Lepisosteus oculatus: one gene and its partners. The protein of the gene in region 1 binds, or shares a complex with, the protein of each later gene. Links are inferred from orthologs where the notes say so. Each region holds a gene or a part of one and is shown on either strand. Other genes may lie near its edges.

What was found.
Region 2: taf7 (region 1) and taf4a share a complex: the UniProt entries of both Homo sapiens proteins name them as parts of the TFIID basal transcription factor complex. The link is inferred for Lepisosteus oculatus from reciprocal best matches to the Homo sapiens genes TAF7 and TAF4.
Region 3: taf7 (region 1) and taf11 share a complex: the UniProt entries of both Homo sapiens proteins name them as parts of the TFIID basal transcription factor complex. The link is inferred for Lepisosteus oculatus from reciprocal best matches to the Homo sapiens genes TAF7 and TAF11.
Region 4: taf7 (region 1) and taf13 share a complex: the UniProt entries of both Homo sapiens proteins name them as parts of the TFIID basal transcription factor complex. The link is inferred for Lepisosteus oculatus from reciprocal best matches to the Homo sapiens genes TAF7 and TAF13.

The regions. Positions count from the first base shown.
Region 1 is NC_090703.1:50,850,242-50,857,538, forward strand, and holds the start of taf7 (transcription initiation factor TFIID subunit 7), read right to left. Parts: upstream 3,010-7,297; 5' UTR 2,913-3,009; intron 2,619-2,912; exon of another isoform or gene 2,412-2,618; intron 2,331-2,411; exon of another isoform or gene 2,241-2,330; intron 1,966-2,240; 5' UTR 1,941-1,965; coding exon 1,901-1,940; intron 1,750-1,900; coding exon 1,673-1,749; intron 1,571-1,672; coding exon 1,492-1,570; intron 972-1,491; coding exon 838-971; intron 519-837; coding exon 395-518; intron 81-394; coding exon 22-80; intron 1-21. Other genes in the region: magnesium transporter NIPA2, read left to right, coding at 3,024-3,165, 4,001-4,057, 4,592-4,682, 5,011-5,171, 5,454-6,103. UniProt on the Homo sapiens protein: The TFIID basal transcription factor complex plays a major role in the initiation of RNA polymerase II (Pol II)-dependent transcription.
Region 2 is NC_090711.1:8,524,184-8,531,585, forward strand, and holds the start of taf4a (transcription initiation factor TFIID subunit 4), read right to left. Parts: upstream 3,009-7,402; 5' UTR 2,989-3,008; coding exon 2,757-2,988; intron 2,613-2,756; coding exon 1,614-2,612; intron 1-1,613. Other genes in the region: lsm14b (protein LSM14 homolog B), read left to right, coding at 6,822-6,942, 7,322-7,402. UniProt on the Homo sapiens protein: The TFIID basal transcription factor complex plays a major role in the initiation of RNA polymerase II (Pol II)-dependent transcription.
Region 3 is NC_090700.1:29,936,046-29,944,033, forward strand, and holds the start of taf11 (transcription initiation factor TFIID subunit 11), read right to left. Parts: upstream 3,010-7,988; 5' UTR 2,988-3,009; intron 1,969-2,987; coding exon of another isoform or gene 1,784-1,968; exon of another isoform or gene 1,359-1,783; intron 1-1,358. Other genes in the region: ankyrin repeat and SAM domain-containing protein 1A, read left to right, coding at 1,784-1,968. UniProt on the Homo sapiens protein: The TFIID basal transcription factor complex plays a major role in the initiation of RNA polymerase II (Pol II)-dependent transcription.
Region 4 is NC_090700.1:3,894,719-3,902,435, forward strand, and holds the start of taf13 (transcription initiation factor TFIID subunit 13), read right to left. Parts: upstream 3,015-7,717; 5' UTR 2,778-3,014; coding exon 2,751-2,777; intron 1,746-2,750; coding exon 1,667-1,745; intron 1,079-1,666; coding exon 981-1,078; intron 1-980. Other genes in the region: casr (extracellular calcium-sensing receptor), read right to left, coding at 6,290-7,698. UniProt on the Homo sapiens protein: The TFIID basal transcription factor complex plays a major role in the initiation of RNA polymerase II (Pol II)-dependent transcription.

The DNA of each region.
Region 1 (7,297 bases):
GTATTTTACATTAAATTTTACCTTTTTCTTAGCAGTTTTCCTGAATCTTCTCTTCCTGGTGTTTTTCAAGGGATGAGTGACTAGACAGTAAAACCAAAGACGACTATTATTGTTCATATGGACACAGCCGTTCACAGTCACTTGAAAATCTTCAGGAAGCTCTGAAAAGGCTCAGCGCAAACACATCCACCTACCTGCATAAACCCACAGAAGAACTACTGCTAACGAAAGAAAAAATACTGCCTTGCTACAGTACATCTTAAGTCTCGTATTTGAAACTTAATTTCAAAGTATTTAAACTCTATTTTGTTACCAGGCTCATTATAATACTGCCTCTGAAAAAACAAGGAACAACACGTTTTAAAGCAACGAGGCGAGCAGGGTGGATACTCACTGCCATGGTTCCATATAAACTTCTTGTCTTTATCTTTGTCTTTCTTCTTGTTCTTGGGCTCTGTAGTTCCTGTGGGTTCCTCTAGAGGGGGGTACAGGTCTCCATCCACTGTGCACACCAGCATCTGTGTACATACAATATTCATTTGAACAGCTCAACACAAAGAGCGTCAGCCACTCATAACTGAATAACTAGATAGATAACTAGGAAGGGACTACTTCCCAGGATTTGTGAAAAAATGCTACAGAAAAATTACAATTAAACATTGGAGAACAAATAAAATCAATCACACTTAAATAAGGGAAAACAGATCCAAAATAATACTGTGCATATAGCCTAATAAAATTGAAATTTAGTTTAAAACTTAATTGCATCAAAGTAAGTGTACATTTTAAAACTAGACATGAATTTTCACAGTATGCCTTTGAATGTTTCGTTCTTACCTGACAAACATCTGCAGTCTTATAAAAGGTTTTCTTATCCACTGTCTTCAGAGACTCTATAATGCAGGGGAGGTCCACCAGCTTGCAGGCCAGAGGAACGCGATCCACTCTCACGATCCCATGGCGCCCGTCAGCTGCACAGAGGGGTCATTCGTTTTGAGATCATGCGTGAAAGCACATGGCCACAACTGTTGAAGCTGTTGTAACTTCAGAGAAATGCATTCTCTAACACAAACTCAACTGATCATAACTGGGAAAGAAATAAGACTTCATAAAATGACCACCATAACATAAGAACAAGCTTTACATTTTCAGGAGCTGGTGTAGGATTCTTTAAGTACATACAGTATGGTGTCTTAACACCTGAAATTGACCTAGATATCAAGTTACCTAACTGTAAGAACTATTAATATAATAAGGACGCCGTAGAGGGACACATGTATTACAACTGTCATTTCGGTGTTGTTTTTTTTAGCCCTTAAATCGGGTCTAGAAAATGGTCGAATATGCCAGATTATTCCGTCTGTATCTCGACCCAGTTTGTTTGTTGCGATCCAGTGAACGATGAAGCCAGTGCAACATCCAGACATGCGGTTATTAGTGATTAAGTCCCGTAATATCTGAGCAATCGAGGAACTCTTCCAGGGTACGAACCGTGCAGTTCAATGGTGAGTCTGTCTTTCAGATTGACGCTACCAGACTGCACTACTCTCCGAACCGTGGAGGCGTATTCCTACATGAAAAAAAAAAAAAAAAAAACAGGAGGACGTTTCAATGGAAACTACATGAGGTCGATTTCGGCATCTCCGATCTCGGAGAGGTTCAGGTTCCGTACCGGGGGCAGCCGCAGTATGAACTGGCTCTCCAGCTCATGAGGCGCGTCGTCTTTGTTTTTGGAGCCTGCCTTTCCCACTGGAGGAGAACAAATCAAGACATCAACAGTTAAGGGCGTCTTTTTGTAATGAAATCGACTTAACTAAGCATCACCATCTAAGCGAAATTTAAATAAATCCGGATATAAATATGTACAGGTAAACGAAGTGCACAGAAAGAAATGTCGAACCTTTTGCTTTGGAAGTCATTTTGATCTTCTTATTCTGCATAAACACTTGCGTTATACGAAGTCCTCTGTAAAGAAAATTGATATTTTTATTACGCAGAGAAAGAAGCGATTAGGAGATATGAGATATCGTTGTTTATTGTTTGTGCTTCAACTAACGTATTGATTTTGATGCAAATTTTCAAAAATAGTGCAGGGAATAAAGTAAACTAAAAAACAAACTATATAAACGGCACCACCCTGGCTCCTATTAAAATAATATGTTACATATAGTTAGAGGCAGCAAAATAAAATCATAAATATAATCTTACTGTATCCCGCAAGAAATACGTACTGAACTTACCAACAACAACTGTACCTCCTCCTCCACAACAACACAACCGGATACTCTCTTGAAAAGACTACCTGTAAACAACAACTCCCGCTCTCCAAAGGGTCCGCCTTGCTCTCGTCGTTTTAATACGGCTCACATTCACTAAGTCAACAGTTCGGTTAAACGCCTTTTGCCTTACGGATTCCGGTGTCTTCAGCGATAATATTACTTAATTAAAATAGAAGAAAGCTCAAAACGGTGCTTCGCGGCAGAAGAGGAGAAAGAAAGGTTCCGGGCAGCCGGAGCTGGGGGACCTGCAGACGGAGAGGACGGGTTGATGGAGGAAGTTGCGGTTTCCCCGGCCTGTGACAGAGCTCTGTATCAGGCGTCTATGGGCACGATTGCAAGGTAAATTCCTGTTTTTTTCCCTATTACAGAATAGGTTTAATTGAATTATGTACATGTTCTACAAATAACTTATTGTTTTATGACAAAGCTGTCCCATGACATCACATAAACGTCTTGGAAAATTGAATTATAGCTACAGTAAGAACTGAATTAACGGATTGCTTTTTAGAAAAAAAAACCTCAACCTCACCCTCAACAAACGAGCAGATACTGACTTTGACCTGTTTCAACGACGCTGCATTCAATCTCCAGATAGGTTTCAGTAAAACGAAATGTAATACGAAACAGTCATACCTGAGCTGTTGAGTTTTAGATCGAGGCGTCTCTCTCTCTCTTTCTTTTTAAATCTCAGCTCAGCTGTGATTTCTCTCCAGTATCAGACTTTCTTGAATCATTTGTCAACAGATGGATATCGATGCTGCGAGCCGAGTGAATTTCTACATCGGCCTCTCCCTGGCCATCTGCTCCAGTGTCTTTATTGGGGGCAGTTTCATTCTGAAGAAGAAGGGGCTCCTCCGGTTGGCCAGTAAGGGGTCAATGCGAGCGGGTACGTGTCCACACTGCGACTGTGTCTTACCTTATCGGGACTCACTGTCCTTGCGTTTACTGTCGACTTTACTGTTAGATCGCATGATTCGTCGTTGTAATCTCTGTGCCTTGTGTAACTTTTGTTTCAGTTTCTCCAGGCTGTTTAATAGAGCCCAGTTTTAAAGTAGTTTTTTTCCGAAAATAACTCAAATACCAATCACATGACTTGAGCAGAGTGTTTTGTTATCCCAAGGCACAGTACACTACTCAGACAACCAGCAAATGTAACTGCTCACACTGTAAAACGCAAACAGCAGTACCTGAATGGGAAGTGAACCATTGATGTGAAACTTAGACTGTTGTGTTTTCACCGTGTATCATTTCTGTCATCTTGTCATTGTCACTTCCTTCTGTGACCTGGTCAGGAAGAGTTACAGCATACGTCGCACCCATTTACATCATATCTTGGGAAAATGTGAGACATTCTTGCATCTCTTTAAAATTTCACATTGTTGATAATATGAAATTTATTTAATTAGGAAGATGTTCACTTTGCAGTGTGTTTGTGTTTAAATATGGCGTATTATTGTTGGAATGGAATGTCTTTTCCCACTTGTGAGTTTCTTCGGTTGATGCTGGAGAACTTGTTTCCCAGTTTTGTTGTTTGTACCTGTCACAGAAAACCAGATTGCGTTGAAAAACTGGTTCAGTCGGTGTATTGGACATGAGCTAAAACAAGTGTTGAAGGAAACATACCTGTACTCCTGCTACTGATGCTGTCAGTGGTGATAAGCTGCAGTTCAGCGGGAGACACTGGGAGATGAAGGCATTTTGTTTTGTCCTTCCCTGTGCAGGCCAAGGAGGACACGCCTACCTCAAGGAGTGGCTGTGGTGGGCAGGACTTATTTCAAGTAAGTCGTGAAGTCTGTGTCCTTTTGGGTTCTACAAGTCCTACAGTTTATTTTCGAGACTCTTCAAAAGCATTCAGGAATGTCATTTCCACTATGATTTACTGTAATAAGAGCTACGGAAAGACGTGTCTGAGCAGCAGAGACTTCTTTCCAAGATCATGCCTTTGTTTTGTTTAAACCAGCGCTTGACCCAGTGGTGGTCTGTGGTGCTTTGACAACCCGGAGGGATGTCCAGATCAGAACCATTCTGGCTCTTCGGTTCTCTGCCATTTTCGTCTCTCTTCTCCTCTCACATTGCTCTGTGCTGCGCGTTATGTCCAGATACTCGGGTGTGTTTCATTTTTTTATGAACGGGTCATGACGTTGCAGCTCACCTGTACGTTGTTTTAATCTGGAAATCTTTGAGACACATGTTCTGCCAGAGACTGGAGGCCCAAACCCTCTGAAAGAAAGTACTGTGATTGAAAACAAAAGTGTGTTCATGGCAGAAGCCCTGGCGTGCCTCCTGACCTGCTCTGCCCTCTTGTGTTGCAGTGGGGGTGGGAGAGGCTGCGAATTTTGCGGCCTACGCTTTTGCGCCGGCCACGCTCGTTACGCCGCTGGGAGCCCTGAGCGTCCTGGTGAGGTGAGTCAGGACACACACACGAGCTCAGTCTGCAAAAGCTGTTTGATTTCTCTGTGTATTTTTTTTACCCGTGTGCCATTTTGATGAAAACAGTGGTAAATCGCTTGGATAAAAAAAAGTCTTTTTTCCGATATTTGTTTCAAGTATGGTCTTGGTACCTTCCATCAAACCATCCTAATAAGGGTCACTTACAACACATCACAAAAAGACCTGTGTTCTTAATAACATACAGATATGCAAGAAAGATTGTTACATTTCTGACAGGTGCTAGCACTTTCATTTTTCATTTTTGTCCAAGAGCTCCCTCTCACCCTTCCTGTTTCCTCAGCGCTGTGCTGTCCTCCTATTTCCTCAACGAGCGGTTGAATGTTCACGGGAAGATCGGGTGTCTGCTGTGCATCCTAGGCTCCACCGTGATGGTCATCCATGCCCCACAGGAGGAGGAAGTGGACTCCCTGAGCTCCATGGCGGAAAAGCTGAAAGATCCCGGTACGTCACACACCTGCACAGTCTCTCGGGGGTGAATGTGCCCTCCGGAATTCACTGGGCTGAAATTAAGTTTGAAGTTTGTGATTTAAGTGACCGGCAGTGGTCAGTGATCACAGCCCTGTCTGGTTTTGGCTTGAGCCACAGGAAGACGCCGGCGATGAAAGCTGAAGTGGGATGCAAAAAGCTGGATGTTGAAAGCTGTGATCGCTGCCGAGCGAGCGCCCGATTTCTTTCTTTCAGATTATTCACTTTAACAGAACTGCTGTCTTCTGCCTGTTGCAGGTTTCATTGTGTTCGCCGCGTGCGTCGTTGTGAGCAGCCTGGTCCTGATCTTCATCGTGGCCCCGCGCTACGGCCAGAAGAATGTGCTGGTCTACATCTTCATCTGTTCGGCGATCGGCTCCCTCTCCGTGTCCTGTGTGAAGGGGCTGGGGATCGGCGCGAAGGAGCTGTTCGCGGGGAAGCCGGTGCTGAAGGAGCCCCTGTTCTGGGCGCTGCTGGTGTGTCTGGTGGCCTGCATCAGCACGCAGATCAACTACCTGAACAAGGCGCTGGACATCTTCAACACGTCCATCGTCACTCCCATCTACTACGTCTTTTTCACTACCGCGGTCATGGCCTGCTCCGCCATCCTCTTCAAGGAGTGGTTCCAAATGTCCGCGGACGGCATCTTGGGCACGATCAGCGGCTTCCTCACCATCATCGTGGGCATCTTTCTCCTCCACGCCTTCAAGGACGTCAGTTTCACCTGGGATGCCCTCCCACTCTTCCTCCGCAGGGGCCAGAGAGGGGCCCCCTGGGGCCAGCCCTATATTCCCGTGCCCAGCCAGGAGGCGGAAACGCCTGGGGGACAGCCTTTGAGGGAGGGAGGCAGTAAGAGGCATTCTCCTGACAGCGCAGCCAGGAGAAGCAGCAGCGTCACGGTCACCTAACAGTGGAGCCAGATCCTTTTAACACCCATCTGTTGTTGTTGTTTTATAATAATTCGGGGTCTTGAAGATATTTTTAGAACGGAATCTGGGAAGGATACCGTGCCTTCTAGGAAGTATCCTTCTAAAATATTTTAAAATACAGTACTCGTCCAAAAGGAAGCAAAACCCCCTCTCTCTGCAAATGACTACTCTCACAAAAGTCCCTCTTGTTTCACAGGACTTCATACTGCCATCCTTGTTCCTTTTCCTTTCGTTTTTACTCCCCATGAATCATCTTTTTTAACTCTTCTCCTTTGCCGCTGGCTCTGGTTGACAGGTCTGCACTATTAAAACTAGTTCTGTTCCCATTCTTTGCAGAACATGTGGCACTGAAATGGGAGGATGCATAAAAATGGGGAGAGGACTGACACGTCACACAGCACTGTGCTCATTAGCTCACTGGCTTTTTTAAGTGTCTTTTGTTCTTATTGATCCCAAGGTTTACAGTAGGATCTATGTAGGTCTAGGAAACTGTAATTGAGAGAATTTAATTTTCTGTGCTGAAGTTAATGCTTAGCTACAAAACACTAGAGTAACTTTTTTCACTAACTGTCACGTGAATAGGTGCCTTTTTAAATGTATTTTTACCAGTGGTGCAATTAACAACTTGAGGTCCAGAAAGTTGAACACGGTTAATATAGTATTATTCATTTGTGTCAATCATTTCATACACGTTTATATGTTTATACAGTATAAGTAATTAGTATAATTCTGAATTGCACAACTCTCAGTACTTCTGTAGGATTGCCGTAATTCTGGAGAATTCTGTAATTCAATGAACTGCAGTACTGGAGACTAGTAGCCAGGTTATTGTACACGTCTATTCAGGGGTCATGTGTACCACCTCGTGCCTTTCACTGGTGGCAGGGACAGGTTCCACGGGTTGATTTTCCACACTGCACAGATTCTTCCACTTTTACTCAGTGTGCAGTTTGTCTGGCTGGAGGCCGGAGGAGATTTCATGGAGAAGTGTAATTACAGTGGCTTTCTGGAGAAGCTGTATGGTTGTTTACATGTGACAGGTGGACTGATCTCCTCCGTTCCCAAATGCTATATACGTGAAAACTACAGTATTAACAAGCGTAATGGCTTAGCACACTTGTAATCTTTGGTGTCATAAATCAAATGTGTATATTTATTGTTCCTTTCTAAAAA
Region 2 (7,402 bases), on another chromosome or scaffold:
ATTATAAATAAAGAGAAGTGAATATATAGCCCGAGTGCTGTGAAGTTGTGAAGTAGTAAGTGTGCCTGGCAGTTTGAAATCACATCTTCTTCCACCACAATTTCTGAGCTGGAGCGTTTAGCATAGCCACCAACAACTTTATTCTTTTTTACGTCGGTGGATTAAACAACCCTTTATACATGAACTTCGTTTTTACACCAGCTAATCCAGACTTTAGTTTAACAACGGCAACAACTTGCTTGAAATTAAGCCTCCTTCATGCTTAATAGTCATAGTTAGGTACAAAATCAGAGACCACCGAAGCAATCTGTCAGTGCCTCTGTGTGGGCTAACTGTTCACGAAGGTATGCAGATTGTTAATAAAATGAACAAAACCAGCAGATGCAGTAACTAGACTAACTGTGGTTTTGAATTACTGTTAAAAACTTTCTTCACAGTGGAGCTAACTACACATAAGGCCTACATACCTCTTTTGAATACTTTTTCTCACTGTAATCATTAATCTCTTTAGAGCAATGGCAACAAGCAGCTTTTAAACACTTTAGATTTTAAAGGACCGAAGAAAGTAAAAACAAACACACATACAGACAAATAATACAGTATTCACTTTTCTGTCTAAGGCACAAGAGGTCCTAGGAACACTGATTAGCTCAGAGGACACAGGGTAACTTCAGTCATGTCTACTAGTGTAAAATAAACACCTCACACAGAGGACTGCTTCTGTCAGTCATCACTGTTTCTGCCACCTGTGTTACTGATTCTAACAGTTTGTGAGTCATTTATTACTACTACATTGTTAAATTAAACTGCCATTTATGTTTACTGAGAGGTTTATCTTGCAAAGTGATAAGTTGCAAAGTTCCTGCTCAAACTTCCTCTCTCCTGAAAAGTTCTCCAAGAGAGAAACACCAGCCTCAGCTTTGGATAGATTCACGTAACGGGTTTATGAATAGCTGCTGTATTTTGATTGTTACACACAGTTAACGTGCAATAATGACCTTTGCTCTACAAACTTCAAAATACATTGTCTTTGTTTATATTTCATCAATTGTCACGGTTTAAGGACTTGCCAAGCCAAACTTTCTACTTGCTAGGTTGTAGTGGCAGCAGCCACTTTAAGAAGGAAAGAAAGTCGGAGTACTTAATAAAACGTACACATTGGAACCAAAAACGTTTGGATACCAGCTTAGCTTTTCGGTCTTTAGGCTATAAATAAGCTTTTTTTCAGTTCCCTAACTTTAAAATTACACATATTCACAGACTTATCCGAAAGGGGCATCAGCAGACGCTCTTCTTGAGACGCACATTATCGTTCATGAAAATAAAACGACCGACATGATCGAGAAAGATAAAAGGTAAAAAAAAAAAGTGCAATCTCTTGACTTACTCGAGCAAGACCGTGACTATAATTACACAGCGTGTGTATGAAATTTGTCTTGGGCTTCAGACGCTGAGCTAATCATGAACTAAAAGCGATTCAGTCCCTATTAAGTTATGAAGGAGTTAGGATCCTGTCTAGAATTAAGGACAGCTCTTAAAAGTTCTTCAAGGGGAAAAAAACCCCTAGAATTGCTGGTGTGTTCAATAATAAAAACAAACTTTTAAAGGCTTACCTGGAGGCAGCTGGATGTTCTGGATATTTGGCTGATTCTGCGGTGCGTGGGGCAGGCGGGGAGCCAACACCTGCGGAGCTATAGTCCGTATTCCGACCGGACCGGGCACGACTGCTCCCGGAGTGGAAGTCCTGGCTACATTCTGCAAGACCGGACTCTTCCCGATAGCCGCGGCCGAACTGGGCTGCGGTGGAGGTCCTGGCTGCAGGGCGTTTTGCATAGGCTGACCAAGAGTCAAGTTACCGGCGTTCGCCACCACACCGGGCGCAACTGCCTGCGCTGTAGTCTGGATGATAGTTTTGGGGGACTCCGACTTGATCACCTGCGCCCCGGCGCTCACGGGCGACGGGCTGCTGTTTAAAAGCGGAGCCTGTAAAGATATTCCAGATCCCACCGGGGCGGGCAGGCTCGCTACACTGACCGCCGAAGTCAGGACCGTACTGTTCGTACTCCCATTCTGCGTCGTACCCGGTCCGGTCGTGTGCATCGGAGGCCGCACTAGAGTCACTGTAGGTCCGCTTCCCAAACTTGTCGCCTGAGACGAGATCACTGTCGAAGTAACAACATTCTGCGCGTTCACGAAAGAGGTCTGTATAACAGTGCTTGAGGCTGAAGGCAAAACAGCGTTTACATTTCCTTTCACAACCGATCCAGGTCCGTTGTTGACAACTGTGACAGCAGGTGCAGTGCTGCTGCTGCTGCTGCAAGTCGTAGCACTTGATACTGGCGTCCCGGGGAAAACAGCGGCACTTCCTGAATTGTGAGAGTTCATTACTACATTACTCCCATTCAAAGTTTGCACCGCAGACGTCCCGATTTTCCCGTTGCCCGCTCCGTGGTTGGGCACAGCGGTTACCATGGCACTGACAGCCACAGTTTTGCCTTGGCTGAGCCCCACTGATGCCTCCGACCCCGCCGATGATGTGATCCCTGTCGTTGCATCCATATCTGAACCCTGGGACCTCGTATTATTAATAACACCCCCTTGCACTCCAGCCCCTGTTGGAACGGAAACAAACCAGAGTGAGAGGGAAAAATATCACAGCACATTGGAAGGCATGGCAATGAATGCATTCGTTTACATTTTCTCTTTCGGAAACAGAAAAGAAAAAAACCAAAACAACGTTTACTATGTTACATTACCTGCTTTTGCCAGATCTTGTGCAAGTCCCAATTTGCTCTCCTGGACACTGGCATTGCCTCCTACCCCAGGGCTTGCAATGTGGTTCCCCACCGCCTGACCTCTTATGTCGGTGTTCCCGTGACCCGAGCCGGTTAGCTCAGACTCCAGGGACCCCACCAGATCGCTAACTACTTTCTCGTCCACCTCTGTGTTGAAGAAAACCTCATCCAGCAAATCGGAGCCCGCCGCCATCTTACTCTGCTATGAGCTGAGGGGGGGTTACCCGGCCTCACGCACGCGCGAATGGTGTGAAACGTCACCGGGATAGGGATTCCGGCGTATTCTGATTGGTTGTTTCCAGATTTAAAGGGCGGGACAAATGGCTGAAAGCGTCATTATCGAGAAAGTAGAGGATGATACAGCACCGTCGGTTGAGGAGCTGGTGGGGTTTAAGTATAATAGTATTAAGCTGCTGTGTCCGCGTTACTTTTTAACGCAAATAACGGACCCAACTGGAAATTACAGGCAGTGATGTTTATGAGTCTTTAATGCTGGTTTGGAGTTGTGAATCTGGCAAAAATCGAAGAGACTTTCTGTTTTGGCGCTTCGGCTTTTTGTACTTGCGTTTCAAGATGGCTGCGTTGTTTTTGTTCAGTAAGTTCAGAGAGTGTGTGAGGGCGCCACACCTGAGAGTGCTGCCAAGAGCGTGTAGTACATGCTGTCGAGACTACTGGGGGGTTATCTTGTAATACTGTAAAGTGTATTTCAGCGGTGGGTGCGAGTTAGAAGCGGTTTCCTTTATTAGACCGGAACTGATTATTTTTTTTTGTTTGAATCGTATCTGACCTGTGTTGCGGTAGTGTAAGAGGGCATGGCTGGCTTTGTTTGTTGATAAATGAATTCTTGCACTCCGCCACTAAACAAAAGGGGAAAGTATATTTATGTCAGTGCAACTGTCATTGTATGAAACAGACTATTTACAGACCGTGACTCCGAGATGCTACACCCGCGTAGCGGAGATGTGAAGCGTTAGTGAAAGGTGGCAGTACCCAAGCTAGACGCTTCATCCGAGGAAAACTTGGGTTTTATCCTGTGCTCCCATTTACGACCTGAGAAGCACGGCCAGGCTTTTCGGGGTGTCGATTTGACAGTCTCCCGTGTCTGACTTTAAAGTTCCTTTAGCCCTTGTTCGAAGCCGAATCATTTCCCAGTCCTAGTAAAAATAAGGGCTGCTCCTTTCTCTCCGTTTGTTCGACCTCTTCAAGCTGTAGCTGTACGTCCTGCTTCCCATCTATTCAAAATGCTCACGCCCCCAATTCGCAGCACGTATTCTGCTCGGTTTTTTCCCCCTGCAGTGTGAATTTGTACATTTTGTATAAATTTAATTAAGATTTGTAATGTTTCATTTCCTCTTGTAGATCGCTTTGGACAAAATTGTCATACAAATAAATCCACATAAAATGAGTTATCTTGTACTGTTGTGATTATTGTATTGTTAATTTATTAACGGGTATGTTTTTGCTTACACCACTTTTTTATTTATTTTTTTATTCCTTGATTTGCTTAGACACTTAACCAGGACTGTTTATAAAATTGTCATACAGGAAACAAGCTAAATGCAGTAAGAAGATGAATGTCTGAATTTAAATTGCAATGCATAAGAGCCTCAGCTGAATCGGTTGGCAATGATATATGGGGTAAAATAATGTGCACTGGTTTTTTGTTTGTCAAAATTTGAACTTTTAATGGGTTCTGCAACTTCAATATATTTATCTTTCAGCGCAGGTTTGATGTGTATTGTCTGTATAACAAGACATTGCCAGAGGAAGCAGGACTGGAATAAGCTACACTGAAAATCAAGATCATATGCAACTAACCTGCTAAGAAGCTGAAAATGTACAGAGCACGTGGATTACATAGGTGTATTCTCTCCTGTGAGCTGTCTCTCCTTCAATATGTTGTAGCCCTTTAAAATGTTTTTTACTGGTTGTCGTGTATCTTTCACTGTTTGTTTGCTAAACACACACCTGAAAGGCTGCTTGTCCATTTTATCCCTAAAGGTATATACTTATTTGATCTCAAACACGCCTAGCATTGTCATCTGTCTTTTAACAGAGTTGACACCAGATTGGTGCCTTTTCACTAATAATTATCTTACACTTAGTGCTTTTCTGGACACTCAAAGTGCTTTGCAGGTAATGGGGACTCCCCTCCACCACCACCAATGTGCAGCATCCACCTGGATGATGTGATGGCAGCCATGGTGCACCAGTATACTCGCCACACACCAGCTATCAGTGGGGAGGAGAGCAGAGTAATGAAGCCAATTTACTGGGGATTATTAGGAGACAAATGAGAAATTTGGGCAGGGTTACACCCCAACCTGTTTAAGAAATGCCCTGAGATTTATACTGACCACAGAGAGTCAGGACCTCAGTTTTACATCTCATCCAAAGGACAGTGCCTGTTTTACAGTATAGTCTCCCTGTCACTATACTGGGGCATTAGGACCCACATGGACCACAGGGTGAGTACCCCTGCTGTCCCCACTAACACCTCTTCCAGCAGCAACCTTAGTTTTTCCCAGGAGGTCTCCCATCCAGGTACTGACCAGGCTCACACCTGCTGAGCTTCAGTGGGTTGTCAGTTGTGAGTTGCAGAGTAATGTAGGTGCTGGCTATATAAAAAAAATTACATGGATGGAGGAGATGCAGATTCTTATTATACATGTATACTTACATAGTAAGTCATGTAGTAGTTACAGTGGAGTCACCAATACATAAAATGAGACTTATAAAATCTGAGCGGTTCTCTAAAACTCGTTCTCTATCTTTTTGTGCCATCGACCATCTCCCTAAATCTCCCTACATGCAGAGGAAAATGGTGTGAATACAATTTACTCAGTGAGACTGGGAGTGTTAATATGAATGTCTAAGACATTTTAATTGTATTGAAGAACTCCATTACACATTGAGGTTAAAAAAGGCTAGGAGTCAGTTTGATTTGTCTTAGGTGATAACATCTTACTATTTACCAAGGGATTTCATAAATCCTTTTCATAAGGAATCGGGAAATGTGTTTCAACTCCGTGTAGAGGCAGCTATAGATACCAGCTAGATCACCCTGCAACGCACAGCTGGCAAACCACAAGTTTGAGACTGGCCAATACCTGGATGGGAGACCTTCTGGGAAAGCTGGAAAAGGTGTTATTGGGACCAGTAGGGAGCACTCACACTGCATCCTGTGTGGGTGCTAATGCCTCAGTATAGCGTCGGGGACGCTAGACTGTAAAAGGGCGTCTTCCTTTGGATGAGATGTAAAACCAAGGTCCTAAATCTCTGTGGTCATTAAAAATCTCAGGGCGCTTCATGAAAAGAGTAGGCATATTAACCTGGTGTCCTGGCCAAAAATCCACCCAGCCTTTATCAAATCATTGCCTCTTGATAATCCCCATCTATGAATTGGCTTTATTACTGTGTTCTCTTCCATAGCTGATATGTGTCTGCCATCACTTTTGCTGGTGGTGGAGGGGAGTTCCCATTATCTGTAAAGCGTTTTGAGTGGAGTGCCCAGCAAAGAGCTATATAAATGTAAGGAAATATTTATTAGCTGTGTAACAGATCTTCACAACGCTTTGTGTAAAGAAGTAGCAGCTAGTTTCTGTCCTAAATGCAATTCCTCTTAACGCTGTCCTTGGATCTTTGCTCTACAGTTAATCGTTAAAAGGGCCAATAGCCAACATACCGCATTACGGCTCAAGTGCAAAGTTGGGGGTTACGACATTGAGCAAAACGCGAAACATTACTAGAGTCTTTACTTCTGTCTTCCAAACGGCAGGGGGCACCCTCTGTCTGTCTGTCTGTCTGACTGTCTGATTGATAGATTGTTTTCAGCCTCTTCTGCCGAATTCTCTATAAAACCGTGCGAGATGGGGCGGCGGATCACTCGGCTGAGTTTGATGTTTAAGATCGGTGTTCTTAACAAGTTAACATTGCTACAATTAAAGATCGAACGTAGGAGTGGAGGAAAAAAAAAATCTCCTTTGAAAATTACAAGTTGGTAAAGGAAGTACATATATACCGGCCATGAGTACCGGAACACCTTACCTTGGTAGCAAAATTGGCCTCATATCCAAGGCCCAGATCCGATATGAGGGTATTTTGTACACCATAGATACGGAGAACTCGACCGTGGCGTTAGCTAAAGGTGAGTACCAGTTGCTTTCCTTCTTCCAGTGGAAACTTACAAACCTTTTTATTCGTGTTTATTTATAGGAGATGTAACAGAGACGCTCTTAGGTGCCCGTGAAATGATTGTGTTTGAGAGGCGGGGTGTTTGTATCCTCGTTTGAGGTGGTGGCGCCAGTAACCAGTTACCTTTCGGTACCTTTGAATCTCTTTTAAGAGACTAGTTCGCAAGTTAAAGATTGTTTTACCGGCGTAAAAGCAAGAAAAAGTTCTGGTTCTTAAGAATGTTACTTCGGGATAGTCATTATTTTAGGAGTTAGGTGCTAGCCTGTTACCTGTGTGTAAGTAATGAAGTGGGAACCGACGGTCTTAATGCCATTTGTCCTTCCCTGGATTAGTGCGATCCTTCGGGACGGAGGGCCGCCCTACAGATAGACCAGTGCCTCCCAGGGACGAGATCTACGAGTACATCATCTTCA
Region 3 (7,988 bases), on another chromosome or scaffold:
TATCTGAGGATACATAAACCAACCGTAGCCATAACATTTAGTGTGGATTTCGCTTTTTATGTGTTGAAAGTGATATAATCTATCAGCAATAGCCTAAACGTGTTTTTTTTAATCTGAAAATGTTTCATATGAACAGTTTAGGTCTAATACGAGTGACACGTGATTATAAAAAAATACAAATATATTGTAATTGTAGCAAATAGAACTCTGCTGAGAGCATGTGGCCAATTTGAAACACATTTAGTTAAACGGTCCCGTAAATGTCATGGCGTTGAACAAAGAGCAGAACATATTGAGATCCCGACCCGGGAAGAGAAGAAAACGCAAGAAACAGCTGGTCTGCCAGGGGTGTTGGGTTTGCTGGGCGTACAGAAAAAGATGAAGAATCTTTTAATGAACAACCGCATTTGAAGTGAAGTGACCTGATCAGTGCCATAACTGCATTAGTAAGGAAGCTGCTGTCTGAAACTCAGCAGACTGTATTCAAATATTGCTTTTCTACATATGACTATGGAACTGCACTACAGGAATTAACCATGGGAACGGAATTTTAGTGCGGAGGAGGGCAAAGCCTTCAAATTCCATTATCTGGATAATACATTTTAGGAGAACATAACAAACGGTTAAATATAAAACTAGGAAATAAAGTTGCCTCCTGTAAATAAGCAATTGATTATTTTTTTGCTCTCCTACCCTAAGTCTAACTTGGCAGGCACACCACGCAACAGCCCACAGGAGTAACCTGCTGACTCCACAGAGAAGACACCCCAGCACAGAAGAATATCCGACATCCAGGCAGGTCGGTACCAGGACTGAGCTTGGGTGGGGCAGGAGAGTTTAAAGTCACCCTACCCGACAAAATCCATTTCACGAGCTATACCTGGAACAAACCGTGTCGATTAAAATGTATTTCTCACAAATAGAAGCTCAACCTGTTTAGGATTCAGCTCCATTACTGGCTTCAGAGATAACGTCTACATAAGCAAAAACCACAGCCTCTTAGACTACACTTAAGGGCTCTAGCCCACGCGTGCTATGCTCCGCAATTTTGCCCACCCAAATAAAAGTCCCCCACATATCAATTTATTTCAGTATTTGCAGGCTGAACAGCCCTATCTGACTTACACTTGTTAATAGCGGATATCCGTTATAGTTAATGAAGTGTATGTGGTAATATTGTTTTCTCGTGTTTGGTAGTTCCTTTAATTTGTAGACACATCTAAATACATTCTGATACATTTAACGTGTTACATCTGATTTGTTTCCGACACAAAGAAACTGATACGAATATTTATTTCTTTGTGCTGAGCTGCATTAAAACGAAATGCGATTGTCTTGCAATTCTTGGCATTCTCAGCGCATTATTAAAGTGACTTAAATCCAGACTTGTGGGGGAGGTAGTGGGTGATAGGATTTCACTACCGGTTGTACCAGGTATGGGGTAATGGGGCTGTTGTGAAATGACGTTGGAAAGTAACCAAATGACATCATGAGGAGGAGGCTGTCCTAAGGAAGTGACGTGTCGGGGGGGCAGTCGGAGGAAGTTTGGCCGGTGGTGGTGCTGAAAGAAACTTTCCCTGGAGCGGCGGAGTGGAGCAGGGATCCGGGGCGCGAGTTGCCGCGAGGAAAAACATCGATCAACTGTGGAGGATTATTGTCAGTGGGAGCATTGCTGTTGGAGCCTGGATACGCGTCTTGGCCTCTGGGACACCAGGCTGAAAGGGAATCGCCTGAGCCGCTGCCTTGCGTGTGCCTCCCTCTTTGGCTCCATTCTCGAGCCGAGATGGGGAAGGAGCAGGAGCTCCTGGAGGCTGCCCGCACTGGGAATCTGGCCGCCGTCGAGAAGCTGCTATCCGGCAAGCGGCAGTCGGCGGGGATCGGTGGAGGGTCCTCGGGAGGCGGAGGGAGCGGCGGCGGAGGAGGCGGCGGTCACAGTTCCTCATCTCACCCGCTTTCGAGTTTGCTCAGGTGAGAGGTGGGGGGAAGACCGGACCTGCCGGTGCAGGTACAAGGAAAGGGAGAAGGGGTCCGGCCCGGGTGGAGGAGGAAAGCAAGAGAAGGAGGAGGGGGGGTTTGTGCAAAACGCGGTTTGAAGATTATTATTGAGTGGGTGAAAGAGTGAGTCTTCAGAATGCCTAAGCGTAACCCTGGGTGTCCAAAGCACACCCCCCAAGATTTAATCGTTTTTTTCTTGGACAAATACAGTTTTGAGCCGATAACAAACGATCTGATAGACCCAGTTCAGCCCACGTCTTTGCAAATATTTTTTTCCCCTCAACTCTCCTGTCTCTGACGCGGACCTCAGCACACCTTTGCTATCGGGTTGCGCCGGGCAAACATTCTTTGAATATTTGCTTCCACATTTCAAGAAGTCGACCTCCCTTTCCTTACCTCGCCATGTTTAATAACACATTACGGGCTGGTGCACACTGCAAGGGAATCCGTCTTTTGTTTGGCGCTTGATATGCTCGAAATCAGTTCGTGGGAAAAACGTGTGACAAATTTGGTTGGGTTTATGCAGATGTCGCAAGATATCGCTACTGTCATTTTTTTCTTTTGTGTAGTTGATCGCAAGGCACCCACTTCGATTAATTTTGACGTGCGATATTAAGAACACCTGACAATTATTTCCCCATGAAGCTGATGAAAAATACAAGAGACAACAGAAGAGCGTCACAACACGAAGAGACGTTATAATCCCTTTAACATATCAGACACCGACCAAGAAATAGGTCATGATTATTTTTGCCTTCGTTGCGCTGTTTTGCTGTTTTGTATATGCTTCCCCGGTCGTTTGTTTTGTGGTTTCGTGTTGTTTGTGCACACTTTCGAGTTTGCATCTTTTTTAAAACAATATCAGTAAACAACGCGAAAACGTCTACGATGCCGCTCGTTTTTCCACGCGTGAAATCTGGGACTGAAACGTTTTCTGTTCTGTGGGTTTTCACCGGTGCGCGGGCCGGGTGGACTGGACTCCCCCGCGGTACCTGGGCGCGCAGGAGGGGCGAGGGTGTGGAGAGGGGCACTGCGTCCGGCGTGCAAGGAGCTGTCCGTGCTGCGGTCATTCATACTCCTAGTAGTCCAGCATGTGTGAATTGCACTCCTCCTCCTTCTCCTGAGCGCTCTCGGCGAGATGTGTACTGTAAATACGAACAGTGTGCATTTAAAAAAGACGCCCGTAGTCTCTCACAGCCTTAGCAAGCGCGGAGCTGAGCCACCCTGCAGGCGTGTGTCACCGACCTGACTTCGAAACCTAACTCCAAGCAGCTAACGCGTCACCTCTTTTAATTGCAGAAAATGTAATTAAACATTGAAAGGAGGTAGAAAACTGCAGTTTAATTTCATCAGAAACTTAAATCGGAGAAGCTGAACGAGGGTGCAGCGAAATTCATTTCTGATAAGGAAAGAGAGCCGTTTTCGTGTCTGTTAAGTGGTTCTTTAAGCGTCTGTTCTTCAGTAACTGTGTTTCCTCCTAATCTGTAATAATTTAATCTGGACACTGACGGAAATAGCCGAACGCATGTGCCTCTTAAAACCGTACAGTTGCCTAACGCTATATTGCACAAAGCATCTTTACAATGGCGAGTCTTGACGATGTCTATATATAGATACAGGCTTCGATTACGAAATCCTTTCAGACAAATTAACGCTTACAATTTAAGGTTCGTTTAAGATTTTCATGTCGAAAGAGTCATTAAGTCATTAAGACCCCTTTTCCTTTTACTGTTCTGGTAACCGTTTTTTTAAACGGTTTGGAAGTAGTGTCCCTGAAAGAAGATTTAAAAACACTAAAGATGGTAAAGCTGTTACTGTATGAAGGTGCTACCTCCTCTCGTTTCATCGGTTACCTCCCCCGAAAAGATGACCGAATGAATTATCTGATAAAAAGGGGAACGCGGTAAAAGAAATTATGACTCCTGTTATAGCGCATCTATGGGCGGAGGGCGGAGATAACTCACACTCCGTAAACATCGACTTGATGCGTCGTAAAATTAGTCCTGACATGCTGCGCGGTACTTGATGTAATTACATTAAAACCCTCTTAATCGGAAATCCAATTCGGCGGTGTCATGCGCTTCGAGTGGCCCCCGGCATAGCCCGGCCCCCGACAAGTGAAAGCTGAAGTGCACTTTGTAGGCTCTGGAGAGCTCTGCTCGGCTCGATCAATGGCTGGCAGGCGTCCATGAGCGAAGATAATGATGACCTTAGCATGTGTTTTAAAGTAACTAACTCGGATGAGGAAGACACCCCTTGCGTGCCCACCCTCAGAGCTCCGCATGTCTACGCGATTTCCCTTCAGAGCACTGGGCATCATTGCTTTAAGTGCGATCTTTTCTCTCCTCTCGTTTGACTTGAAAGAAAAAAAACCGCACATCAGGCCTTCGGAAATAATCGTGTTCTGTGGTACCCCGTCAATATTGATTAATCGGCCAGTTTAATGATTCAAATCTTCGGGCATGTCAAGTTAACCCCAGCTGTGTTTTTCATCCAGTTTTTATTCGTTCCCAAATCCTGATCCCGTAGTGTGGTTTTGGTCAGGCTTTCTAAATTCAGAAAATACACGAACCGTAGTAGTGTTTGTGATGAAGGGTAGTCCTGCCAAAAATTCAGAGGCAAAGAAGACGAAGGTTCTGAGATCAACGGCTGGCGAAAAAAGCCGTTATTTTAAAAACCAGAGCAACACTGTTTGCCTTTAATAATGCAGTCCCCTGCTGAAGTGAAGCATGTAGCTGTCAGACCGATGTGCATTTACCGGTACAGCGCCGAAGCGAAGGACCTAAAATATTAAAGATGAGAATAGGAGGCTCTTCTTTACACAAAGGGTGGCGGGTGTCTGGAGTAGGCTGCCCAGCCATATTGTTGAAGCCGACATCCTGGCTTCTTTAAAGAAAGGACCGGGTGAGATCTTGGATCAATTTGCAACCACCGAACGAGCTCGATCGAGTGACTAGCCTCCTCTCACCTGTAAATATGCGAATGGATTTTGTGCAGGAACATCTGCTTGTCTGTTCAAGTTTCCATATGCAGGATTCAGTAGTTCAGGTCAGCTCATAATACTGTAGGTCTGCGTGGCGTGTTCCTTTTTTTAATGCTTACCATTGTGTGTCAGGCAGACTAGTGTGCAGGGCTGATATTTGGACCAGGTGGTATATGACGATACTATGAGAACTGAACCACTCTGCAGACAGAAATGTTGCTAAATTCACTGGAGTTTTATATGGCCAGTGTTCATGGCACTGGATCAGCTGGGACTAGCTCCCAGGTGCCAGTACTGTGGTGACTGTGTGGCTGGTAAGTCTTTGCTGAACTTTACCAAGCTTTGGCTGTGAAAGTGCATAGCATCAGAAAAACATGGGCTTAGAGAAATCAAAACTGCGAAGTGATGTGTGTGTTTTGTGCCACCTTATCTGTCCATTTCCTAACCACTTCATCCAATTAATTCAAGGTCTTGGGGGAACTGGAGCCTATCGTGGCAAACAATGGGTGCAAGGTGGGGTATACCCTGGGCAGGATGCCAGTCCATCACAGGGCAGACACACCAGGGCCAGTTTTCTCAGGAGCCAGTTAACTACCAGTATGTCTTTGGATTGTGGGAGGAAGCTGGAGCACCTAGAGGAAACCCACATGAACACGGGAGAACACGCAAACTCCACACAGACAGCACCCCGAGTCTGGAATTGAACCCAGAGCTCTGCGAGGCAGCAATGCTGACCACTGCTCCACCGTGTTGCCCACAGTCCAATCCATGGCTCTTCTTTTAGCCCCGGTACAGAATAACGTCGTTGCTCCTGAGCAGATTGGCTTCAGATTCTGTGGTTGTGCGGCGTGTGTGTGTTCTGAGCCTGCGTTTCCACAACCGCCTGGCACTTCCGAGTGCCCAGCCCGCTGTGCCCAAGTGCCAGGCCTCTGCTGATTCTCTAGGGCCCCGGTGCCCGACTTTACAGCAGGCAGCCCACCTTGGCCGTTTTTCTTCGGGCAGGATCACGGAGTCAAGCGCTGGAAAGGCGTTCTGTGAAGAAGGGCCTTCTGCTTTTTTGCTTACTCCGCGGCGCGCGCGTCGGGACTGCGGTTTCAGTCAGGACGGGGATTAACGGAGCCGCCGGGCCTCGGGAGAAGCGGGCAATGGGGCCGAACAGTGCCGAGCTCGCTCCGTCTCCTCACTGGCTGGGGGTGGGGGGAGGAGGGTTGGAGAGAGAGCCTTCCCTAGCGTGCTCAGGCATGCCGCGTTGAGACACCTCAGCGCAGCAGTCTGCCTTGCTCTGGAATGTGCCTGTTCCTCGCCCGGCTTCTCGTGCGCGCTTTGACAACAAGCCAGCTTGCGAACGTGCTTTTGCGGGGAAGAGCGCTCGGAGAATGCGCGCGCGCACGTGGGACTGGAATTCCATCTCGATCCGGCCTGACGTGGCCGTGCTTCCCTTTCTGGCTGGACTGTCCATCCGTCCACTTTGCCCACCGCTTCTTCCAGTGTGGGGGAAGCCGGTGCCTATCCCATCAAGCAGTGGGCACAATCCAGGTGCATCCTGGATGGGATGCCAGTCCGTCACAGGGCAGCGATCACACGTACTCACACCAGGGCCGACTTTCCCAGAGGCCGGTTAAGTTAATCTATCAGTCTGGTCTGCGGACTGTGGGAGCAAACAGGATTACCCAGAGGAAACCCACCCCAACAGTGGGAGCACATACGAACTCTGAAGTAAAAAAGAAACTAGAGTCTTAGTTAAAGCCCCGAGATTGCTTTTGGCAGTGTGAGTCTTTAGCCTGGCATTGGAGGTCGGCGGTGCGTGGGTTGTGTTCAGCGTTGAAGGTTTTTCACACTGGGTGAAGTGAATTCAATCATTAACGAAACCGAATAAACAGGCGTCTTATCTCTCAGTGAGCCTGAGGTCACAAAGAAAAGCCCCCCCCCCCCCCCCGTCAGGGGGGCCTACCCTGGCGTTTTGAAAACCAGAAAAAATCCACAAGTTTGCAGTATATTTATAATAATTATAATTAATAATAATTGCTTACATCATAATTTTTGGACACTCCACTCAAAGCACTTTACAGGTAATGGGGTCTCCCCTCCGCCACCACCAGTGTGCAGCATCCACCTGGATGATGCGACGGCAGCCATAGTGACCAGTAGTCTCACCACACACCAGCTATCAGTGGGGAGGAGAACAGAGTGATGAAGCCAGTTCATAGAGGGGGATTATTAGGAGGCCATGATTGGTAAGGGCCAATGGGAAATTTGGCCAGGACGCCGGGGTTCCACCCCTACTCTTTTCGAGAAACACCCTGGGATTTTTAATGACCACAGAGAGTCAGGACCTTGGTTTTACATCTCATCCGAAGGACGTTATTTCCTTATTTCCTTCGGATACCCTGCTGGCTTCTTTCGATATGCCTGTCTCTGCTGTCTGTGCTCATTTCTGAGGCTTCATGCTGCCTGGCCATGTTGGTGAAGCATCTGGATGCGACTCTTGGATCAAGTAACAGCCAAGAGGGCCAGCTGGGCTGAATGGCTTCCTCCGGTTTGCAGCTCTTCGTTGTTGATGAACTCCGATGTTGCCTGACTGTGTCAGCTATCAAGGAACCTGGCTTCACCGCTTCACCGCTTCACCCCTGGGGCTGGCAGTGAGGTGTTCCTGGATTCGGGGCACGTTCTGCTCTGAGCTGTCAGGATACTGTACTTGCCCTCATAGTGCTCAGATTGCACCAGGAAGACCTCTCCTCGTGTCAGCGTTGCAAATGCACGATTAACTTACCTGGTTAAATAAAAGAAGTTATTCAGTTCTCTAATTGGCCCTTACTAATCATGGCCTCCTAATAATCCCTCTCTATGAATTGGCTACATTACTCTGCTCTCCTCCCCACTGATAGCTGATGTGTGGTGAGCGTTCTGGCGCACTATGGCTGCCGTCGCATCATCCAGGTGGATGCTGCACATTGGTGGAGGTGGAGGGGAGTCCCCATTACCTGTAAAGCGCTTTGAGTGGAATGTCCAG
Region 4 (7,717 bases), on another chromosome or scaffold:
ATTAAAAAAAATCAATTTTTTTCTCATCTTGCTTGGAATTTTATTTATGAAATGCAATAGTTCAAAGACAACCTCCAACATGTACAAGAGCTGAAAACAGTCACACAGGTCAAATTAATTCTGTTATTAAGTCAATTAAGGAGTTCAATTGTGTAGCAGACATCTCAGCTGGATCAGAACTTAGCATGTGTGTGGTCCTCTAGGAGTAGGACTGGAAAACACCGAACTAAATTATTCAGAAGTGCACTATATAGCACATGCTGTGGAGTTTTAGTACTGCAGAGAACAGATGTCTTCCACATGAGTAATATGAAGAATTTATTTACCCTTACAGAGGCCCCTGCTACAAGTGCAGGTTCCTAAATAAAGCAACTTGTAGCAAGAAAGAGGAATTAATATACATGAGGAATAATGTAATTAGCTTGAGATACATTCCTAACACAATCAGTTCAGACATGTATTTACATAAAATGTACCTAAAACCCATAAAAACAACAAATCAAAACTGATGAGACAAATGTTATTATTCTTACCAGGGAAATGGAATTGATATGTTGGAAAGTGGAAGTGTGACACATTGCCTCTTGTGAATAGAACTAAACCTCACACCAACACTTTTTTTTTCCCCATCAATTCCAACAAATATATAAAGATACGATATGTACATTCGCAGTGCGTTCAGAGGGCCACATCGCAGCACACTGCAGCGCCTGCCAGCCAGCCTACATTGCTGGGTTTTGGTTCATTGAAAAAGTGCATAATCGTGCGAACAAAATGAATATAGCTCCTTAATTAACTGATGAAGTACAGCTGAAGCAATGAATATTGATGCATATTACGGTGACTAATAACAGGGACCCTCTGTACCTCCATTTGCTTCCCAGAGCTCGACTAAATGAATGTTCTCATCTGCAAAGCTCACCCTTCGAACTCAGGCTCACACTGCTAGGCAGAACAGAGCAGCTGTGCTCACAACGTACCATTTCTGTGATGAACTCTATCACAAGATCCTCCAGAATGTCCACAGACTCGGTGTAGGGGTTCTGATCGTCCCCGAATCCATACATCATGCATCGAACTGCGTGTGAGGGAGATAATACCACACAAAACTGCAATTGAGGCTACAATTGTTAATGAAATGGCACACATTATTATTATTATTATTATTACTACATGAAGACAAAAGCAAGAGAGAAGATGATAAGAAAAAACAAGAACCCCCCAAAAAATAACATCAAAGTCTTGAAGTATGTAACTATCAACAAGGTACAGCACCTTTGAAAACACATTACGACTGCTGACGACTGCAGCAGGAGGGGAATTCTGATATGAAAAAGTACACTGGTACTACTCTGCATTTCGCAGTTTTATGATAAAAAGCTGAGGAAATTTCTATAATTTTGTTAGTTGTTTTTTACGTAAAAAATAGCTGAGGTAAATACTTCACGAATATTCCCATTAAGCAGAGGCCCCCAAAAATATTCTGTTGAAGCTTTAGAATTGTCCTGTTGACTAAAGCTGACAGCAGTAAAACGAGCCCTGACTGCTTTTTGGCAGAAAAGAGAAGGATGAAGCTTTAAATCGGGACATGCGTGTCTCGCGTATAAAACAAACAAGCTCCTGTGCCACGAGGCGACGTCAGAGGGAAGCCAATGGAAAATCTCACGTTCTTTGGAGAAGAGCCTTTTCCTTCTCCCATGACCCCCCTCTGCCCCGCTGCCTCCTTCCTCGACATCCTCCTCGAACTGCAAGACAGAGCGGAGCACGGGACCAGTTCACTTCCAGGAGGAAAATCACATTTCACACTGGAATTCCTGTCACTCTTAGTAAAGCACGGACAGAGCTCATCTGAAACACACACACACCACTGTAACACCTAAACGTTCTATACTCTTCTGTGGCCACCCCAGGCTTCTGCAGAGCCCAACTCCAGCAGGTGTTAGAGAGTCACCGGTTTAGTAAGAACTTAGAACACCGGAGTTTTCTTCAGTTGAGCCAATACTGTACATTAAGTGGTTCAGGAATGAACCACTGGCATCCCCAAGAACTATGGGGTGCAGGTATTTGGATTTCAGGTGATCTCTGAACTACATCGTTTCATAAATCACCGGCGTTAAGAGGTCAACCAGCTGCTGCAGATCTGTAATAAAAGACGGTGGCCTGGAGGGTTGGTCGAAAACTCCCCTTTCTTAATAAAAATCAAGGGTAGCGCTGCTTTGGCCACATCACTGCCTTCTGACTAAACATTTAAACGGGACTTGCATTATAAATACTAATAGGCGACTCATAAACGTGCACGAAAATTAAGCTTTTTGGAACATGTACAGACAGACAAATCCTTTCTGCCATGAAGCTCGCTGGTGGACACAACTTGCAGTTTCTAATTTGAGCCCGCTGTCTTTACACAAGCAATTAATTTATGGATCTTGTTTTTAAATTGAGCTTCAACATTCAGTCCAACCTAAATACAACATTTTCTTTTGTATTAAACCAGTACTGTTCTAAAATGAGCACTGCAGGGAAACAAAACATGAAATTCCAAATGCCGGTGTCGATGTGCATGAATATTGTCATCACCCCAGGACCAAGTACAATGAAACAAGCCCGGGCGAACTTTCACCTATGTCTCCCCCCGTCACTGAAGTAAGAGAAAGGAAATGAGCACTAGGCTCTATGAGGCTGGAATGAATCGAAGACATCACAAAAGTATCACAGAGCGTGAAAAGGCGAGAAAAAAGATAAATACACACCGCGGGGTCATCGTCGTCGTCGGCCATCCTAGATCCTACTAAAGCCGCAATTGTAGCGAATTGGTGTGCAGGGAGACGCAGAAAAAAATCGGGATTTTACAGGCTAAGACTGAAGCTTGAAGAGTGTGTGTAGTCAACCGCCAAAAACTGTACCGGTACTTTACCAAGGGAACAAATTTCTGCAGCTGTCCAGGGAACTACTAAAAACAAGCGCTGGGCGCTAGCGACCATTCACTTCCTGGGTCCCAGGTCATGTGACCTTCCGGTCAGATTATACCATTACAAACCGGAGCGCTTACTGACATTACATTCTTTAACCGTCACCTATTGCCAGAACTTAAATAGGTATAAACACAATTGTAGTAAAATACTTTACAAAACAAACTCCTAATCCGTTTCTGAGACATCTTTTGCACCCACGCCGATGGTTTTATCTACGCCGGCGTGAGGCGAGTGGACGAGTCCTGGTTGCGCAGATTCCCGCAGCTCTACGCAGATACTGCGCAGATTGGAAGACAAAACTGTTCTAAATGCAAAGCAGGATCAGGAGTCTCTACCCACGACTTTCCGATTAGTGCAGTCTTTTGAGTCCATCTCACTGTAGAGATCTACGAATGACCGATTAGGGGAATCGCTTTAATTACAATAATTAAGTTGGTAGCTAGCTGCAGAGGTCAGTTTGATTGAACGAGGTGCCTATAATGTGGACTTTCTTTTCATGACTTAAAAAATGTTTTTTAAAAATCTTTTCTCTTTAGAAGGCCAGTATTAATCACATAACATTAAGCGAATTGCAGTCCACAAACACTGTACACTTTCTCTGCATGCGGATGATGGTACAAATGCCGTAAAATGTCACGCTGTATAAATGCATAACCTGGCCGGATTTGGCTGGAAAAATAAAAGGAATAATGCCGGATTAAATGTAATTCTGGGTGAGCATTGTCTATGACTGTTCCTACCTATGGTCGCTACAGTTAGGAGAAACAGTGGTTAAACTGCGTATTCTCCAAGCTAGCAATGGTTACAATAAAGTCAACCAGATAATCCGTTTGCCGCCCTGCTCGTACCATCCAACGTGAACCATCGTCATCGTGTTTATTCTGGAATCGCTGTTGGGAAATTCCACCCCCTCGGTCGGCAGGAAGAAATCAGCTTTGAAGTGCGTGTGCGTGTAGCCCTGGTCTCTTCTTGGCCTGTGCGGAATGGGCTCGGCAGCTCCCACGCTGTTGCTGGAGTTTCAGTCACACCCACCGAGCCCAGCAGGGGGCGCCCGGAGAGACGCGTGATTCCCCTCAAGGGCCGGAGCCGGCGGGCCTCTCTGCAGACTTCTGCTCGTCCAATTAGGCGGTCAATGAGACCCTTGGTGAGGTAACTGAGGGTCTGGGTGGGAGGAAAACCAGGTATCTCACGCATCCCCCCCCGAAAGCGGAGCACCGTGCGAAAAACAGATGTGGTGCTTTCAAGTACCAGTTTTTATGTTTGCTAAATGCCAACAGCTTGCCTGGACAGGCCCTGGCTACCCAGCGGCCCTGTGCTGGACACAGCTGCGAGATAATGGAGACAAAACGGACGAGTATCGACACAGACAGACATCAGTCCGGGAGAGTAGTAGCTCTATCTAAAATAAAGTTATGTGTAGCACAGGGTGGTGTTCTTTTCATGTAATTGTACTGCGAATAGAATTATTATCCAGAATAAGCTAAACCCCAAGAGAACATTTCTTTTAAAACAAAGTTGTTTAATCTTTCGTACAGGGGTTACATTTGACATCAAGCCCAAAGATTTATAGTTCACATGAAACAACAGGGCCCGCGTTGAATAAGTATTAACTGCTTTCATAATGACATGAAAATACATTTAGATCCATACAGACTATTCTAAAACGTCCCTAGCATTAACAGAAGCGCAATTTTTTCCTCAAGCAGTGAAGACTAATCTAGAACAGGAACACCTAACCCGAGAATGCACAGTACACTGCAGTGCTAGCCCCTATATATTCAATTACCCAACATTCCTGGAAAACTAAAATTATGCTTAGTGTCCCCAAAAACTTTATAGGAAAGAGATGAAAGATTCAAATGTTCTTGTAGATTCACTGACGTCACTGCATCCAAGAGAATGGTACAGGTTAAACGGGTCTGCTATTGAACAGTGTGCACAGTTTGTACTTACCGGATACATGCTAGCAGACACAGGACACCTTAGCGACCTCTCTTGGATAGCCCTGACAACAACCTGAGGACAGCAGTATCCCAGCCTTGGGCATGGTAAAGATCGTTAATGACCCAGCATTATTAATGTGCCGCTAATCTATTGCCTGGTGGGGGGGGCTATCATTGGACCTGAGACCTGTTTTTGTGTCTCTGCTGTTCCCACAGGGTCAGCCGGTGCTGTACAATATAATTCTGTAAAGCCCTCTGTGGTCAACTGTTGCAAAGGGCGCTACAGCGAATGAAGATTGATTGATTGGTGAATTGATGGGTTGATACAATGTTCGTTTTTGGAGTAATTTTGTCTGTGGTCTTTATCACGATTAAAACCAGGCACACAAATGTAAACTGCCTCAATTCGAAAAGTTTGCACTATTTCATCTGTTGTCTGTATACCATGCACTTGCAGAAAAGGAGAAAAGGACAATCCTTAACGGGTATTTTTATGTAGAAAATACTTGATAAATGTTATGAAAAAGTCCCTTCATACTTCACCCTCTGTCCTCTTTCAGTACCAATGACATTACAGTACCAAATAAAATTATAGTATGTGAGGGGCTTAATTGCTCAAAAAAGCTATTTTTGAACAATGTGTAGAACACTAGTAGAAGTGACTAATGCAAAGCAACTATCATTCTAAATTTCAGTGAATGAAAATAGATTTGAAAAACATGGATACTGATGTGCACTTTATTATAGCTAGTAATTTTTATTGTTAAATACCTTAATAACCTTAAATGCTAAATATACTTATTTATGGAGAGTATTGATTTATCATCTTAAAAAAGTGTTTTAAGCAGACCCTTGAAACCCCAGTTCAGAAAGGCTCACACAAATGACCTTCGAAAAGCACAACAGCAGTGTCGCATTAATTTAAGAATTTAAGATTCATTTGTTTTATATAAACACAAATAAGGAAAAATGTATTCTTGTAATTAGAGTGGTAACGTCTCTCTAAAACTGGGTTACCATTTCTGTGTAATCGTTTTGCATGTTTTTAATTGGGCCTTTCTCAGTAGATCTTAGTGCTTGTAGTATTTAGTACTTTTTCTCCTCAATAAAAAGCAGAGGCAGAGAGTTGCAGAACAATTGGAAGGGTCAGCTCGCAAACAGATATAGCAAAGGTCCGCGTCCCGGTAGGAGCAGGAGATAAACTCGGTCTGATGCTCACAGTGCTAGACATTCAGCTCCAGGTTACAAAAAGTGATTCTAATGTGAGCGCCGCAAAGGAGCTCCCCTCGGGCTCAGCCCAGGCGGCCTCAGCCTACTTCTGAGAGCACTGGGAAGGGGGGGGGGGGCGGGCGCGGAGGGCGTCGCGAGAGGATGTTAGGAGTTGCTGGAGTTCTCCGTGAACGCGTTGGCCCCAAAGCCGGCAGAGTTCGCGGAAGGGAAGGGCGCGGCGTCGTCAGCGGTGCTGCCCTCCTCCTGCTTCCTCCCGCCGGCGGCTTCCTGGGAGGGGTTGCTGCCGGCGGTCCTGAAGCTGGGGTCGCTCCGGGCTTCGCTGTTCTGCAGGGGCAGCAGGGCCTTGTGCCTCATCAGGCTGTCGCCGCTGTCCTTGCCCTCCAGGGAGCTCTTCCTCCGGCTGTACCTGACGGCCACGGAATTCTTCCGGGGCTCCTCGAAGCTGAGAGAGAGCATCACCTTGCCACCGCCGAAGCTCACCGTCTGCTTGCAAGCCCTCTGCGGCCCCGCTGCGGGGAGGTCCTGGTCCTCGTTGCTCTTGAAGCTGATGGAGGACGAGGGCGTGGACACCGAGGAGCCGCCGACGCTGTTGGACCTCTTGCGCGAGACGGCGCTGCGCCGCAGCGTCGCCCGGGCCGCCACCTTGAAGGCGTGGGCCGCGGTGCTGCAGCGCACCTCCTCGATCGTGTTCCTGGATGGCTTGAAGAGGATGATGTAGACCTTGTTGAAGAAGATGCAGGCCAGGAGCCCGAAGCTGGAGGCCAAGATGGCGATGACCTCCACGGCCGACACAAACTTGCCGTAGGTGCTGACGTAGGCGGGGATGAAGGAGATCCAGACGATGAAGAAGATAAGCATGCTGAAGGTGATGAACTTGGCCTCGTTGAAGTTCTCTGGCAGTTTGCGGGACTTGAAGGCAAAGAAGAAGCAGACGGCGGCCAGCAGGCAGGTGTACCCGATGAGGAACCCCAGTGCCATGAGGGAGCCCTCATTGCAGGTGATGAAAATGATCTCGTCCATGTCATGGTTGCTGTAGCTCTCGGGTGGTGCGTTGTAGAGCCAGACCACGCAGATCATGATCTGCACGAATGTGCACATGAAGACCAGGAGGAACTGCAGGTTCAGCCCCCACCACTTGCGATGAAGGCTGGTGGGGATCTTGGCTTCGAAGACCAGCAGCACCCGGTTGGTCTTGACCAGGATGCAGGAGATGCAGAGCACGAAGCTGATCCCGAAGGCCGGCTGGCGGAGCCGGCAGGTCCAGTCCTGGGGCTCCCCAATGAAGATCAGAGAGCTGGAGAAGCAGCAGATGAGTGAGAACAGCAGGAGGTAGGAGAGCTCCCTGTTGGTGGCCTTCACAATGGGAGTGTTGCGGAACTTCACAAAGACCCCCAGGACAAAGGAGGTCAGGAAAACCCCCAGCACCGCAAACAGGGTCAGCGCAATCCCAAAGGGTTCGGTCCACGAGAGAAACTCGATCTCCTTGAGAAGACAGGACGTATGGTTTTCATTGGACCACGAGTTGTTGGGGCACTTGGTGCACACACTCGCATCTGAAACACAAACAAACAG